Rattus norvegicus: one gene and its partners. The protein of the gene in region 3 binds, or shares a complex with, the protein of the main gene of each other region. Links are inferred from orthologs where the notes say so. Each region holds a gene or a part of one and is shown on either strand. Other genes may lie near its edges.

Region 1 (4,212 bases), on a different chromosome or scaffold from region 3:
GAGGGGGAGCAGGAGCAAGAGAACAGAGCAAGAGAGAGAGGAGGGGGCAAGCAGCCGCTTTTATAGTCAGTTTGGCACACCTAGCTGTTGCCAAGTAACTGTGGGACAGAGTTTAGAGTAAATGCTAACAGCTGTTGTCCTCGTAAACAAAGCAACTCGTCAAACCATCACTGATGGGGAAAAAGTACAATAGGCCCCTTCCTCCCCTGCTGAGCCATCTCTCTAGCCCTGCCTCTGAAATTCTTGTCCCAAACTTATAACCTCAGACTAATAGCGAAAAGTTAACACAACAAGCTTTATTGGCGTTATGTTCTTCAAAATAACTGAGCTATATTTTTAAAAATCAGTAAAGACGGGGTTGGGGATTTAGCTCAGTGGTAGAGCGCTTGCCTAGCAAGCGCAAGGCCCTGGGTTCGGTCCCCAGCTCCGAAAAAAAAAAAAAAAGAAAAAAAAGAAAAATCAGTAAAGACAAAGACTAAAAAACTAGCACTAAAGACTACAGAAGACAAAGGAGGCATACAATTATATTGCAGTGTATGAGATATCAAAACTGGATCCTAGAAGGAAAAAATGCTTAATTAACAGAATCGCACCCAGGGATAGGGGTGTGGCTCAGTGATTAAAAAGAAGCAACATTATACAAATGTTCATCTCCTGTTTTGGATAATTTATAACACTGTTATGGAAAATCTGTAATGTTATCTTGGTCAAAAAATATGGGGGCTAAGTATGAACAGTTGTGCTGCTCTGGCTGGGGGAAAAAAGCAACTGAGTCAAGCAAAGAGGCTTCAACCCAGAAGGTCCTGGCTCTTCATGCCAAAAACCAGAAGACACTGCCTCATCCAAAAGCTCAAAAGGGTTAGAAAAGTGCAACATAGAGATTATGTGTAACAAAGGCACTTTACAAGAAAGCATAAGAAACTGGGGAATGGGAGAGAAAAAAAGAAATTAAAGGAATACAGATTAATGGTACAGTGCTTCCCTAGACGAGGCCCTAAGTTAAATTATTAGCACTGCAAACTGAACCACATCCCAGGTACAATCCTGGTTTTTCACCTTATTGACACTTTCTACATCAGTAAGATTCACATTGTGGAAAAGCACATTAAATTATGTGCTTGTCAAATACAAGATTTATTTATTTTGTTTTGTATATATAAATATTTTGCCTGTATGTACATCGTGTGCGTACATGTCGGAAGAGGGTAGAACTGAATTCCTAACGGTTTAATACCCAGGAATAACCTAATCAATCTTCCACCGCGACTACACCACTAAGAACTACATTTCCCGGAATGCTTAGTACGGCACCTTACTATGACGTTTAAAGAGTTCCCAAGCTCTAATTCCTGTTTCCCACGGCTTCAAGGCACCTGTTCTTGAGGCGTTGCATTCTGGGATAGATTCTGGCGTTCCTGGGCGGCCCTTAAGGTACTAGAGTTAAACTTCCCAGCAGGCAGAGCGCTCGCCTGGGACTCGAGCCAAGATGGCGGGCCGTGAGAGTCCGCCACCGGCTGCCGCGTCCACAGCTCCGATTTCTTTCGGTTTCACTCGCACATCTGTCCGGAGGCGACTGGCAGACCTCGGAGACAGCGAAGGACAGGCCCCAGAGAAGAAAGATTTCTTGGCGACTGTGGAAGGGAGGGAGCTGCAGAGGTGAAACGCCGGGTCTTTTCACGTCTTAGAAATCGGTGAAATGGGCTTAAGCGGGAGGGCAGAGTAAGGTGAAACGCCGGGTCTTTTCACGTTTTAGAAATCGGTGAAATGGGCTTAAGCGGGAGGGCAGAGTAAGAGAAATTTATGCTGGTGACAGTGGCCTGGAAAGCCTGAAACAGCTTCGGGAAATTTATGGAGGTAACCAGGAGTGGCGGCAAATGCCTGTAAGTCAAGACCTGGGAGGCTGGCGCAGGAGGATCAAGAATTGAACGCCAACCTGGGCAATTTGAGAGCCTATATTAAAAAAAAAAAAAAACAAAGAAATTACTAAAATAAGGGCAAGAAGAGGGAGGTTTGTTATGTGGATGAAATGGGGCTTGAGAATCAGAGATATAAATTCCTCAGAGAAAAAGTCGTGTGCCTTTTAAGAAAGGGAAAGGAGGGAGAATGACAGGATTCTTCCTGTCTCAACTGAAATGGTGGGTGCTTCTCCGATTTGAAGAATGAGGCAAAGTCAAGTTTTGGGAGGCCATCATCAGTATAATTAAGAAAGGAAGATCCTAGAGGCCTAAGTGGGGGACTTCTAAACGGCAGTTTATGGGCCTGGAACTAAGAAGCTAGACTAAAGGTGGTGAGTTGTAGGTCATTATGCTTTAAGGCCTAAGAATGATTTGCACAAGACACATTTAAAGCTGGGACCCCGGAGAGAAATGATACATTTGTATTGGTTGTATTTCCAGCACTAGGAAGTTGTACCAGGTTGACTGAGAGTTTATAAGACCAGCATGGGATGCATCGTGAGATGTCTCAAAAAAGATGAGTGGACCTTTAATAGTAACCTGTGGAACATGGTCCATAGGGCTAGGCATTGATATTTATTTTGTTTGTTTGTTTCTTTCTGGCCATTGTTTATTTTCTTTGTTTCTTGATATTTTTACTTTATTTAGAGGGGGTGTCAAGACAGGGTCTCTCCATGTAGACCAGGCTGGCCTTGAACTCAGGGATCCTCCTGCTTCTGCCTCCTGAGTGCTGCTGGGATTAAAGGCATGCATTACCACTACCCGGCTGATATTTCTACTTTCTAATATGTCTACAACCCTTTTTCTCTATCCACATCAGTGTGAACCCTCCAGAAGCTCCAAAGGAGCTGGTTATCCCATTGATCCAGAATGGCTCTCGCAGGCAACTGCTGTCCAAGAACCCTAAGCCCTCAGAAACAAGCACCGTGTTGACGTCAGATGGTGTGTTGTCCCAGGCTGTGAAGGAACTCATTGAGGGTGAGTGAAAACCTTCCTCTTTGCTCTGCCCTAGTGCAGATAGAAGGGGAAGAAGTTGGAAGGATAGGGTATGGCCTCATTGATCCCTCCCATTCTTCCTTAGAATCCAAGAAGTCTCTGGAGGAGAGGGAGAATGCAGGTGTTGACCCCACGCTCACTATCCCCATGATCCAGAAAGGATGTACTCCCATTGGGGAAGGAACATACAGCGAACCTCAGGCTGAGACAGTGAGCTGTCCCTTTGCCTCCCTCCTACACTATTCCTTCTACCCTGTCTGCCTAGTCTCCTTGCACATAGCAGGGAAAGTGTGTGTGCATGTCCCAAAGCCCTGCCAATTAGCCTTTCCTCCTTCCACCCTTATTAGAAGCATTAACAAAACAGAAAGCAGGGTGTTTAAAAATGTACGTGAATGCTGGGATTATCTGAATGAGGTAGACAACAAAGTGGACAGGAAATACAAATGCCATGAGGGTGTACACTGTTTGGAACCACATTTGTCTGTTTCCTCTTTCTTTTTTCTTTGTTCTGATTTTAGCCTGCAGTGTTTGAGGAGCACTAAGGAAACCTATTACTGGATTGGAATGAATGGGGAGGGAGTGGGCAGTAGATGAAGGCAGAGGGGGCCAGATTAGAAAGGGCATTCTGACCCACAGAGCAGACTTTTGTCTTTTACTATGAGTGGAGTGAGAGCTAAGGGGAAGTCTTGAGCAGACAGGGTTAGAACAGGGTCCCCTTTGTCTGCCCTGACCAAAAATGACTAGGAAGTGAAGGTAGGGCAGGAAGGGAGTAGACTAATCCAGAATAGAGGTCGTAAGGATACACACACATAGAAGTGACTGGAGTGAGAACTGGAAGGGTAGTTAACATTTAGTGAGAGAAGAATGATCAGACTGGGGACTCCGAATGGCAGCAACAACCCAAGAAACCCACCCTTGTGGGAAATCAGTTCTGAGGCATCTTGCAGTGTGCCGAGTAATGATAAAGGAATGAAGAAATGACAACAGATGAGATGGAAAATGTGTTTGTAGAAATAAAGTTTGAGCTCAGCTTCTTAATGTTTTAGCTTTTTTTTTTTTTTCTTTTTTCTTTTCGACATAGGGTTTCTTTGTGTAACAGAGCTCCTCTGGCTGTCCTGAACTCACTTATGTAGACCAGGCTGGCCTCGAAGTCACAGAGATCCACCTCACTCTGCCTTCTGAATGCTGTAATTAAATGGGCCTGGCTAGTGTTTTAGCTTTTATTCATAAAATGTTTGTGATACACCCTCTCTTTCAGCTA
Region 2 (4,292 bases), on a different chromosome or scaffold from region 3:
GATCATGGAGTGTCTAAGACCTGAAGCAGAGAGGAAATTAGCACCAGCAAGAGCCACAAAGAACATTCTAAGCCAAAGAAACACCAAAGGCTGAGCCTCCAGATAAATAAACAGTAAGTCTAAAGAGGAGAAAGATGGTCAGAGAGAACCAGGCATGGTGACATCTGCAATCCCCGTGATCAGGAGGTAAATTAGACTGGAAGATCGACTTCTAGGCCAGCCTGATATTTAAACAGGAAAAAAATCAAAATAAGAGTATCTGGAGAGGAGACAGAGTAGAATTGTGACAACCTCCAAATCTTGTGGGAAACAAGCTAAGAGAGGTAGATGCTATACTTGGAGAGCATAAACCTAAGGAGGTTTTAAGTAAGAAGACAGAGGCATAAGGTTTTGTTGTGGTTCTACATCCATTTGGCTGCTAGATGATGGGGCAGACAGATGAGAGGAAGCCAGAAAAGAAGCAACCTGAAGTTCATTTCCTTAACGATATGGACAAGATCTCTAGCTATAAAATTAAGAGAATTAAGTACAGATTTCGGTGGTTCCAAAGCTGAACTGGACTTGATGCCGAACTGGCAGTTAAGAAGAGATGTGTTCTAACGTGTGTTTTAAAAGGGATGATTTATTGAAATAGAACAACTGGGGGGATGGATATGTTTAAGGGGAAAGATGGATCTTGTTCAAGATCTAGATTAAAAACTCATTCCAGCCAGGGCGTAATGGTGCATGCCGGTTAATCCCAGCACTAGGGAGGCAGAGACAGGCGGATCTCTGAGTTTGAGGCCAACCTGGTCTACAAAGCAAGTTCCAGGACAGCTAGGTCTACACAGAGAAACCCTGTCTGGAAAAACAAAGCAAAAAACAAGAGTAACAGAAAGCGCATCCTAAAAACCCGGAGCTGGAGTTACACTGGATGGCAGTCAGGAACTTGATGAGAGAGATCTCTCACTACAGGTCTCCCTCGGTCCTGGTTTTTGGCATCTCCTGAGATACCAGGCAATTGCGAAGCTTTCTCCAGCTCGGCCTTCAACACTTGCTATGGGGCTGAACTTGGTACTAAAGGTTAACCGAGGGGTTAAGACAGATAGCAGAGGCCCTCGGGGGCTGGAGGGGGGACGCATCGGGCCGTAAAGACCTTGCGGTAGACACAGATCCGCTCCGCCGCCCGCCCCAGCCTCCGCCACCATCGCCTGACATGCTGCAGACTTGGCCTCTCACCCGCATCGCTCTCCTCAGGCCGGGTTGCTTTGTTGTCCTCGGCTTCCTGGCCGCGCTTCCTCCGCTTTCCGCCTGCGGTACGCTTTCGGGCCATGCTAGCCAGAGGCGTTCCTCCGGACAACCACGCAGGACTGCCGAAAGTCTCCGCGTGCCGGCTCCGCCCCGAGGCGTGCCATGCCTGGCCGCACCCCCAGCTCCGGATAGGACCACGCCCTCCAAAAAATCCCGCCCCCATGCAAACTACAAGGGCGCGAAGGGACAAAAATAGTGTAGTTCGCCTTCCAGTGCGTGGCGGCCCAACGTTTCCTAGTGTCTGCTCTCGCGAGAGGTGGAAAGGGCGCAGCGTTTGAAACATGGCGGACGACGTAGATCAGGTAAGTTTGTCCTGGGGCGTCCGAAGAGGAAGTGCTTTCGTTTCTTAGCCGGGCTTGCTTTTTCCACGCTTCCCGTGGAATGGCCCTTTTCTTTTTCCCGAGTTCCCACGGCCTTCCGCAGCCAGGCCTGCTCCTAAAACTTCCGTAGGCCCAGAGTTTCTCAACCCGCCCATCTGCCCATCTCGCTCGTCGTCGCCCTTTCTCTGTAGAATGCAGACGGCTGTGGATATCCCATCTATGGGAGATACGGTCGGGATTCCGACAGAAAGAGTACTGTAGCGGTAGGACACCAGCATAGTAATACGTGTAAGCACCTGGCACGCAGGCAGTGGCTCACTTGGAGTGTGTTACGAGGGGAGGTCAGATAAAAGGTGCAGTTATGTGAGATAGAGAAACTGCTAGAGATGTAGTATATAGAAAACAAGCAAAGACCTGGCACACAGTGTTTCTCTTCAGAGCATGTTGTTTTAAATGTGTTCTTTATTTAAAATGTTCGTTCCACAACTAGAATATAAGTTCCTTAATAGGGATTTATTGGGGCTTAGTGGTTAAGAGCACTTTTGGCTCTTGTAGACAACCCTGGCTGTGTACCAACACCCACATGTTGCTTTCACTGCTTAACAGTGATTGAAACACCACACTACCTCAGTGTTCCATTACTAAGCCTTCTTCTCTCATCAGCAACAGACCACCAATACCGTAGAGGAGCCCCTGGATCTTATAAGACTCAGCTTGGATGAGCGAATTTATGTGAAAATGAGAAATGACCGAGAGCTTCGAGGCAGATTACATGTAAGTCTGTTAAGTTATCTCAAAACCAGATGCTCCCCTGTCATCCCTTCCTACCTCCTTACAGATAAGAACTGCAACATAAACTTATTTTTTTTAATTATACAATGACTTTTGGGAGTTGGAAATTCCTTTATTGGCTTTTAAAATATTTTTTCCTTAACCAGAATGTTTTTTAGAGAGGGATGGGACTCCTGTGAGACCAGAACAAGGCATCTGATTGCCCAGAGCTGGAGTTACAGACAGTTGTGAGCTGCCTGGTGTGGTTGCTAGGAGCCAAACTCAGGTCCTCTGCAGGGATAACCAGTGCTCTTAATTTGAGCATCTCTACAACCCTGTAGAACACTTTTGTTTTCTTCAGCTTTGTCCTCTGTTTATTTAAAATGAATAAACTTCTTTTTGTTTTAGACAAGGTCATACTATGTAACCCAGCTAGCTTCAAACTCAAGATCCTCCTGCCTCTCTCTCCTTAGAACTGGGATTTTAGACATGCACTACCACTCTTGCCATTGTCCTATGTTTTTAAAAGTTATTGGACAGGGTGTTTTGGTTTTCGACATATAAAACTCTCCTTTGACATGAAAAAAACTAAATAGCAGGCCAGAGATCGTTCACCTAGTATGTGGCAAAGCCCCTAGCACTACCAAAAAAAAATTAAACACCATAGAAATCTAAAGGTGAAATTCCATTTTCTCTGCACTATTCAAAGTTGGCTACATAGTCGTCCACATCTTTTCTGCATGTGTATATGCTGTCTGTGTTTGAAGGAGGATCCTAGTGAGGTACGGTGGCATGTGCCCATAATTCCAGTACTTAGATGACTGAGGTAGGAAGGTCATATATTTGAGGCCAGTCTGGACTACATAGTGAAACCTTGTCTGGTATGTACACACCTTTTCCACACGGTTTCTGTGTGGAATGATTATGCAGCTGACACAGTTGCCCAGGATTCTCTATAAGGCTTCGGTCACTTTTTTGTTTTTCCAGCCTTAAAACTGCATTGTGCACTTTTACATATATTGCTTGTGCACATTTATGATGCCTGTGGAATTGGTCCCTTGAAGTAGCATTATTGTGCACTTAGGGTTTTGTCTCTTCTTGTTACTTTCCTCAGAGCTGTTGGTTTACAACGGGAATTGGAATTAAGTCTTTTTAGTTCAGGCTTAGAAATAGCCCCATACTGGCACCCACAGAGCCAGTGTGGGGGACAGTCTCAGTCTTTCTTCTATGAAGAAATTTTTAGTTCTTTCATGAAACCTGAGGATAAAGAACCTCTGTGACTTGGAAGGAAATTGGACTGTTGATCTACAAGCCAGCATTAGGGAAACAGCGGTGCCAGTTTGGTGAGAAACATGGGATGGAGCTAAATTGAAAGGCTCTTCGGCACATGGAATGACCCCAGGCTAGACCATCGCCTTTAGTTTGGAGGTGTCTGAAGCTCTTACCTCTGTAGTAAGTGGCCCAGGTTTCTGTTTCCTCCCTGCTCTCCAGCTGAACATTTTGCTCATTTGTGTAGCTGCCAAGCAGTTCCTTCTCAATGTGGCGCCTGGCTATTTTTAATCTTGATATGAGCAGGCAAAAGCACTTAGCACTTTGTTAGAAGAACATATAAGTGGGTTCTGAACAAGCCCCAGGAGGTTTGCTGTTAGTAAAAGGGATGAACTTTGGAGGTTGCACTAAACACTGTGGTTGCAATCCTTCCTGCCTGAGCCCACAGATGCCAAAGCATGTTAAGCTCTGGACAAGTTATAAATGGGCAAAGTAAAGGTGGGACAGATGATTGGTGGGTAAAGTTTGAGTGCTGAAGTTTAGATCCCTAACACCTGTGGAGACCCCAGAACAAGCTCTTGCGTTCAACTTAAAGACACTACCTTAATACATACGGTGGGGAGCAACTGAGGAAGGCATCTG
Region 3 (4,404 bases):
ACCGACATACATGCAGGCAAAACATTAATGTACATAAAATGTTTTAAAAAGATGAGGTTTAATTAAGTTCCATTCAGTAATTCAGACAAAAAGAATGAAACAAAAAGAACAACGCTCATTAAACAAACACAAGGAAGAAAACAACAAACAAAAAACCTTAAACAAAAACATTTCAGAAACAGTCTTCTCACCTGTGATTGTTCCATGGACTTGCGTTCCATTCTTCAATTCAATGGTTACGGTTTCATGACTCAATTTCATCAAAAATCTATAAAAAGAAATAAAGTCCTGATTTTTTACCTTAACATTTTAAGTCTTTTGATGAAGTCGGTAGAGTAAAAATGCTAGAGATCAAAATCTTTAAAATGCCACAACAGTTCATATGGGGTCTGGATAGCTAACCAGCAGTGCAGAGCACTCCCCTCTCTTGCAGAGGACCCAGTTTGAGTCCCAGAACTCACACGAAAGCTCACAAACATTTGTTATCTTTGCTCCCAGAGGATCTGGAGGCCTACGCTGACCTTAGGCACCAGGCAAATTTGTGATGCATACATGCAGATAAAACATTCACACATAAAATAAACATCTTAAAAATAATTCTTCATAATAAATACACAGTGCTTAACTTTTTCTGAACCAAACTCATAAACTTATAAAAGAATGAAGCAATAAACTTTCCTCTGGCATCTTTGGACGTTACTGGGTCCACCTGCAGCTCACAGGCTGCAGAGCACTCAAATAAGCTTTCACCCGAGTCTGTAAACTTGGGCTGTCCTGAGCTTCCGACTAGAGAATACTAGAAAGAGACTATTACAAAACAACCTTAAATGAAGATATCTCAAGATCCTGGAGTAGCACTGGGAGTGGTGGTGCATCCTTTAATTCCAGTGCTTGCTAGACAGACAAATGGGTCTCTGTGAATTGGAGGCCAGCCTGTTTTACATAGTGACAGTGAAATTGTCTCAACAAACAAAAGACCCTAGACTAATTTTCAGACACAAAAAGGAAATAGAATTCTAATTGATAGCATAAGATTACATGGTAGAAATAAAGAACTTCTCTTTTCCTGCATTTTGGTAAACAGGGATATTATTCTAACCCACAAGCATACATGTAAGATTCTACTTTACACAAAGTAGGCTATTCTTTAATGGCATCAATAGTACTTGGAGCTTATTTAGCAGTTTACACTGGGGATAATTCCCTAAAAATAAATATTCCAAGAGCTAGATAGTAATCTACTATATGGAAATGTCAACTACCCCACTGTGAATGATGTTTTCAACTTTCTGCCGTTACAAACCCATTTATGCAGGCCCTCACCAGTAACAATTAACAATCTCCCAATTTTCTATCTATGCAAAAAAAGAAAAAACGGTGGGGGAGGGGTGTTGGGAAGAAGCACAGCAAGCCGGTATATATGCACAGAGGGTGAACGCTTGCTGCTGCCAAGTCTGAGGATCCCAATAATGGAGAACCGACTCCTCCTACGGGTCCTTTCATCTTTGTGCACACAAACTTCCCCCATAAATAAATGCAACTCTTTTTTTTTGAGACAGGATTTCTCTGTGTAGCCTTGGCTATCCTGGAATTCATCAGGATGGACTTGAATTTACATAGATGCTCCGGCCTCTGCCTAATTTGTGGCACCCTCCACCCTGCACATAAATATAATCTCAAAACCCAAACTAAATCAAACCATGGTAGTGCATCATTTAATACAGCTCTAGGGAGGCGGAGGCAGGAGGATCTCTGTGAATTCAAGGCCAGCCTGGTCTACACAGTGAGCACCAAGCCAACCAAGGAGCACACTCGCGCACTCTCTCACCCCAAAACCAATCATTACCACTAACAAAATCAATTAATTGACTAAAATATTGAGCAGGGCCATCAAGTTGGCTCAGCAGGTAAAAAGTACTTGCTGTAAAGGCTGAGGACCTGAGTTTTAATCCCTGAGACCCTGGTGGAAGGCAAAAACAAATTACCAAAAATTGTCTTATAACATACCTGTGCACGAGCACACACAAATAGTAATTTACTTTCTAATGAGCAAAACCAAGAAAAATGTATGCTTGTAATCTAGCACTTGGGAAGCACTTTAAAGTGTCCAAAGGCATTCTGGTCAACTACAACAGGTCTTGACACAAGAAACTAAATATTTCTAAAAACTGGCTTAGATATTATATACCCTGCCCCAGACTTGGCCACAAGTCTGTAAGTTTGGAATTAATCAAACCAGCAAACAAGACTCTAGTTAGGCTCCACTTCCGACATAATCTATGCAATCAGGAGAAATTAACTTGTTACCTTTTGCCCCATCCAGAGACACTTTGTCTTTCCTGAGTCAGAAGCCTACATTAACGAGTTACATGCTTTGGTCGGTCAAAATTAAGGAGAACTTAATCTAAAACGTCTTGCAAATCGGCGTCGTTATTTGCAGATAAAACCATCCTACTTCTAAATCCTCGTCACTGCAAGTGCTCCGACTCGCCACGAAAACGGAGGGACCACTGCTCCGTTTAAGTCGCCGGATGAGAAGTGGACAGAGACGGCTTGGCCACTTCATTCCTGTAAGACCGGAGGGGGTTTGAACGCGCCGGTCCCTTGCCCAGGGTTCTGGGCGACGAGCAGGGCGCGGCGGGGCCCGGGCGCCGGAGGCCGTTAGCAGGCCGCGCGCACGCGGCTTTCCCGCCTCCCTGGGAGCACAGCGGCCCGGCCTCCTAAGCTGGCCCAAACTCTCTACCCGCCGCTCTCCCCCAGCCAGGTAACCCTCCTCACCTCACGAGCTTCATCCTAGCGGCGCAGTCTCCCTTCTAGTCCAACTGTCCACGGAATTCAGGCTCCAAAGACCCACAGACTAGGAGTATGAATGGCCGGAAGAGCGCGCGGAGACCTGCGGATGCGCGACGAGAACGCGGAAGCCGCGCTGCCTTCCGGCGACCGGGAGAGCGACAGCGGCTCCTAGCGACGGGAGGAGCGCTTTGCGCCTTCGGAGGGCGGAAGGGCTGGTGGACTACACCTGCAGGAGTCCGAGACCACTTATGAATTTATTAAAACCAGTTGTGAAGGCCTGGAACTTTCACACGTCAAAGGAGGAAAAGTTCTGAGAGAAGCCCTCCAAGATCCGAGCCTAATCCTTGGGATCCACATGTTGGAAGCAGGGAAATCAATCCTGCAAGTTGTCTTTCGTTGGCTAAGCTAAGCCAATCAGATCTTTGGACAGAGTTTTAAATAAACCTTTCATTTTATATATAGTAAGTCCTTCGACTTAAAAAAATCCAATTCCTTATTTGCAATAACCACACAGTTAAATTTAGTAACACAACATCTACAATTGATATAATTACAAATATAGTGCAAATAATTTCCACTATCACAAGAAGTTTGGATAATATTAATTTATTATCATTTGATTCTAAAACGTATTATTTTTGGTCCTCAGGAGAATGTTGTGTCTGAAAGCAAGGGAATACAACTGCTTACTGTGCTCTCCAATATCTAGAATACTGTTTTCATAGAATATGCTTTTGTCACAAAACGCCCCTGTTCCAATGTATGGGAACTGGTCCCACGGGTCAATGAGATCAAAGGAGGAGGCAGGGAAGCCCAGAATTGCAGTGTGCAGTTTATGGGTGACTTACAACAGATACATTGGCCTGGGCATCAGGAAAAGCACATAGGTCCTTGTGATTAGGGTTAGAAGGTATGTGGGGTATAAACAGGTGAAAGTTATTTCAGAGCTAGGCATGGTGGTGCAAGTTTGGGGCCAGCATGCATCACCAGATTTCACCCAACTAAGAGTATTTCTTGTCTATTTCAAGCTAATCAGAGTCAGGTACATCCTTAGGCCAAGGTCTTGTCATAAAGCTTCAGACAACTCTCTCGTGATTTGTCTATTTTATTCTGGGAAGCTGACCATGGTGACTCAGGGATAATTTTGATAGTTTCCACTCAAAATAATTTTAGTAATGTCAAGATAAATCTATAGTCCTTTATTTTATTTTATTCTTTAAATCTATAGTCCTCTATTGATATGCATGAACAATTAGATGCTTCTCTCCATTAAAACGTGCGCTTTATAAGGAAGGAGACCTTGTGCATATCACTCAATGCAGTAATGCCAATACTGAGCAACTGGTACTCTTACCCACAAATCCCCTTTCCACTTGGGGTCATCTTCCTTCTAACCCATCTCTTTCCCCCTCAGTAATATAGGAATGTCTAACATCTCATAGTTCATTAAGCTCACTCTTCTTTTCAGATGTTTGTACATGTAATGTTATAATCTAGTTAAAACGTATTGTCAAATAGAGGAAACCTGTCCCCCCAAAAGAGAAAAGCCATTGTCTCTAGATGAATATCAAACACATTTTTCTTTTGTCTTTTATTTTGTAGCTTGATATT

What was found. Proteins that work in one complex are often made in the same cells at the same time.
Region 1: Snrpd1 (region 3) and Gpkow share a complex: the UniProt entries of both Homo sapiens proteins name them as parts of the minor spliceosome. The link is inferred for Rattus norvegicus from reciprocal best matches to the Homo sapiens genes SNRPD1 and GPKOW.
Region 2: Snrpd1 (region 3) and Lsm3 share a complex: the UniProt entries of both Homo sapiens proteins name them as parts of the U4/U6-U5 tri-snRNP complex. The link is inferred for Rattus norvegicus from reciprocal best matches to the Homo sapiens genes SNRPD1 and LSM3.

Annotation. Positions count from the first base shown.
Region 1 is NC_086039.1:17,475,478-17,479,689, reverse strand, and holds the start of Gpkow (G-patch domain and KOW motifs-containing protein), read left to right. Parts: upstream 1-1,391; 5' UTR 1,392-1,486; coding exon 1,487-1,656; intron 1,657-2,775; coding exon 2,776-2,933; intron 2,934-3,036; coding exon 3,037-3,161; intron 3,162-4,212. UniProt on the Homo sapiens protein: RNA-binding protein involved in pre-mRNA splicing. As a component of the minor spliceosome, involved in the splicing of U12-type introns in pre-mRNAs.
Region 2 is NC_086022.1:125,576,714-125,581,005, forward strand, and holds the start of Lsm3 (U6 snRNA-associated Sm-like protein LSm3), read left to right. Parts: upstream 1-1,471; 5' UTR 1,472-1,571; coding exon 1,572-1,592; intron 1,593-2,273; coding exon 2,274-2,384; intron 2,385-4,292. Other genes in the region: Xpc (DNA repair protein complementing XP-C cells), read right to left, coding at 1,219-1,312. UniProt on the Homo sapiens protein: Plays a role in pre-mRNA splicing as component of the U4/U6-U5 tri-snRNP complex that is involved in spliceosome assembly, and as component of the precatalytic spliceosome (spliceosome B complex).
Region 3 is NC_086036.1:1,968,179-1,972,582, reverse strand, and holds the start of Snrpd1 (small nuclear ribonucleoprotein Sm D1), read right to left. Parts: upstream 2,910-4,404; 5' UTR 2,793-2,909; coding exon 2,779-2,792; intron 269-2,778; coding exon 192-268; intron 1-191. UniProt on the Homo sapiens protein: Plays a role in pre-mRNA splicing as a core component of the spliceosomal U1, U2, U4 and U5 small nuclear ribonucleoproteins (snRNPs), the building blocks of the spliceosome.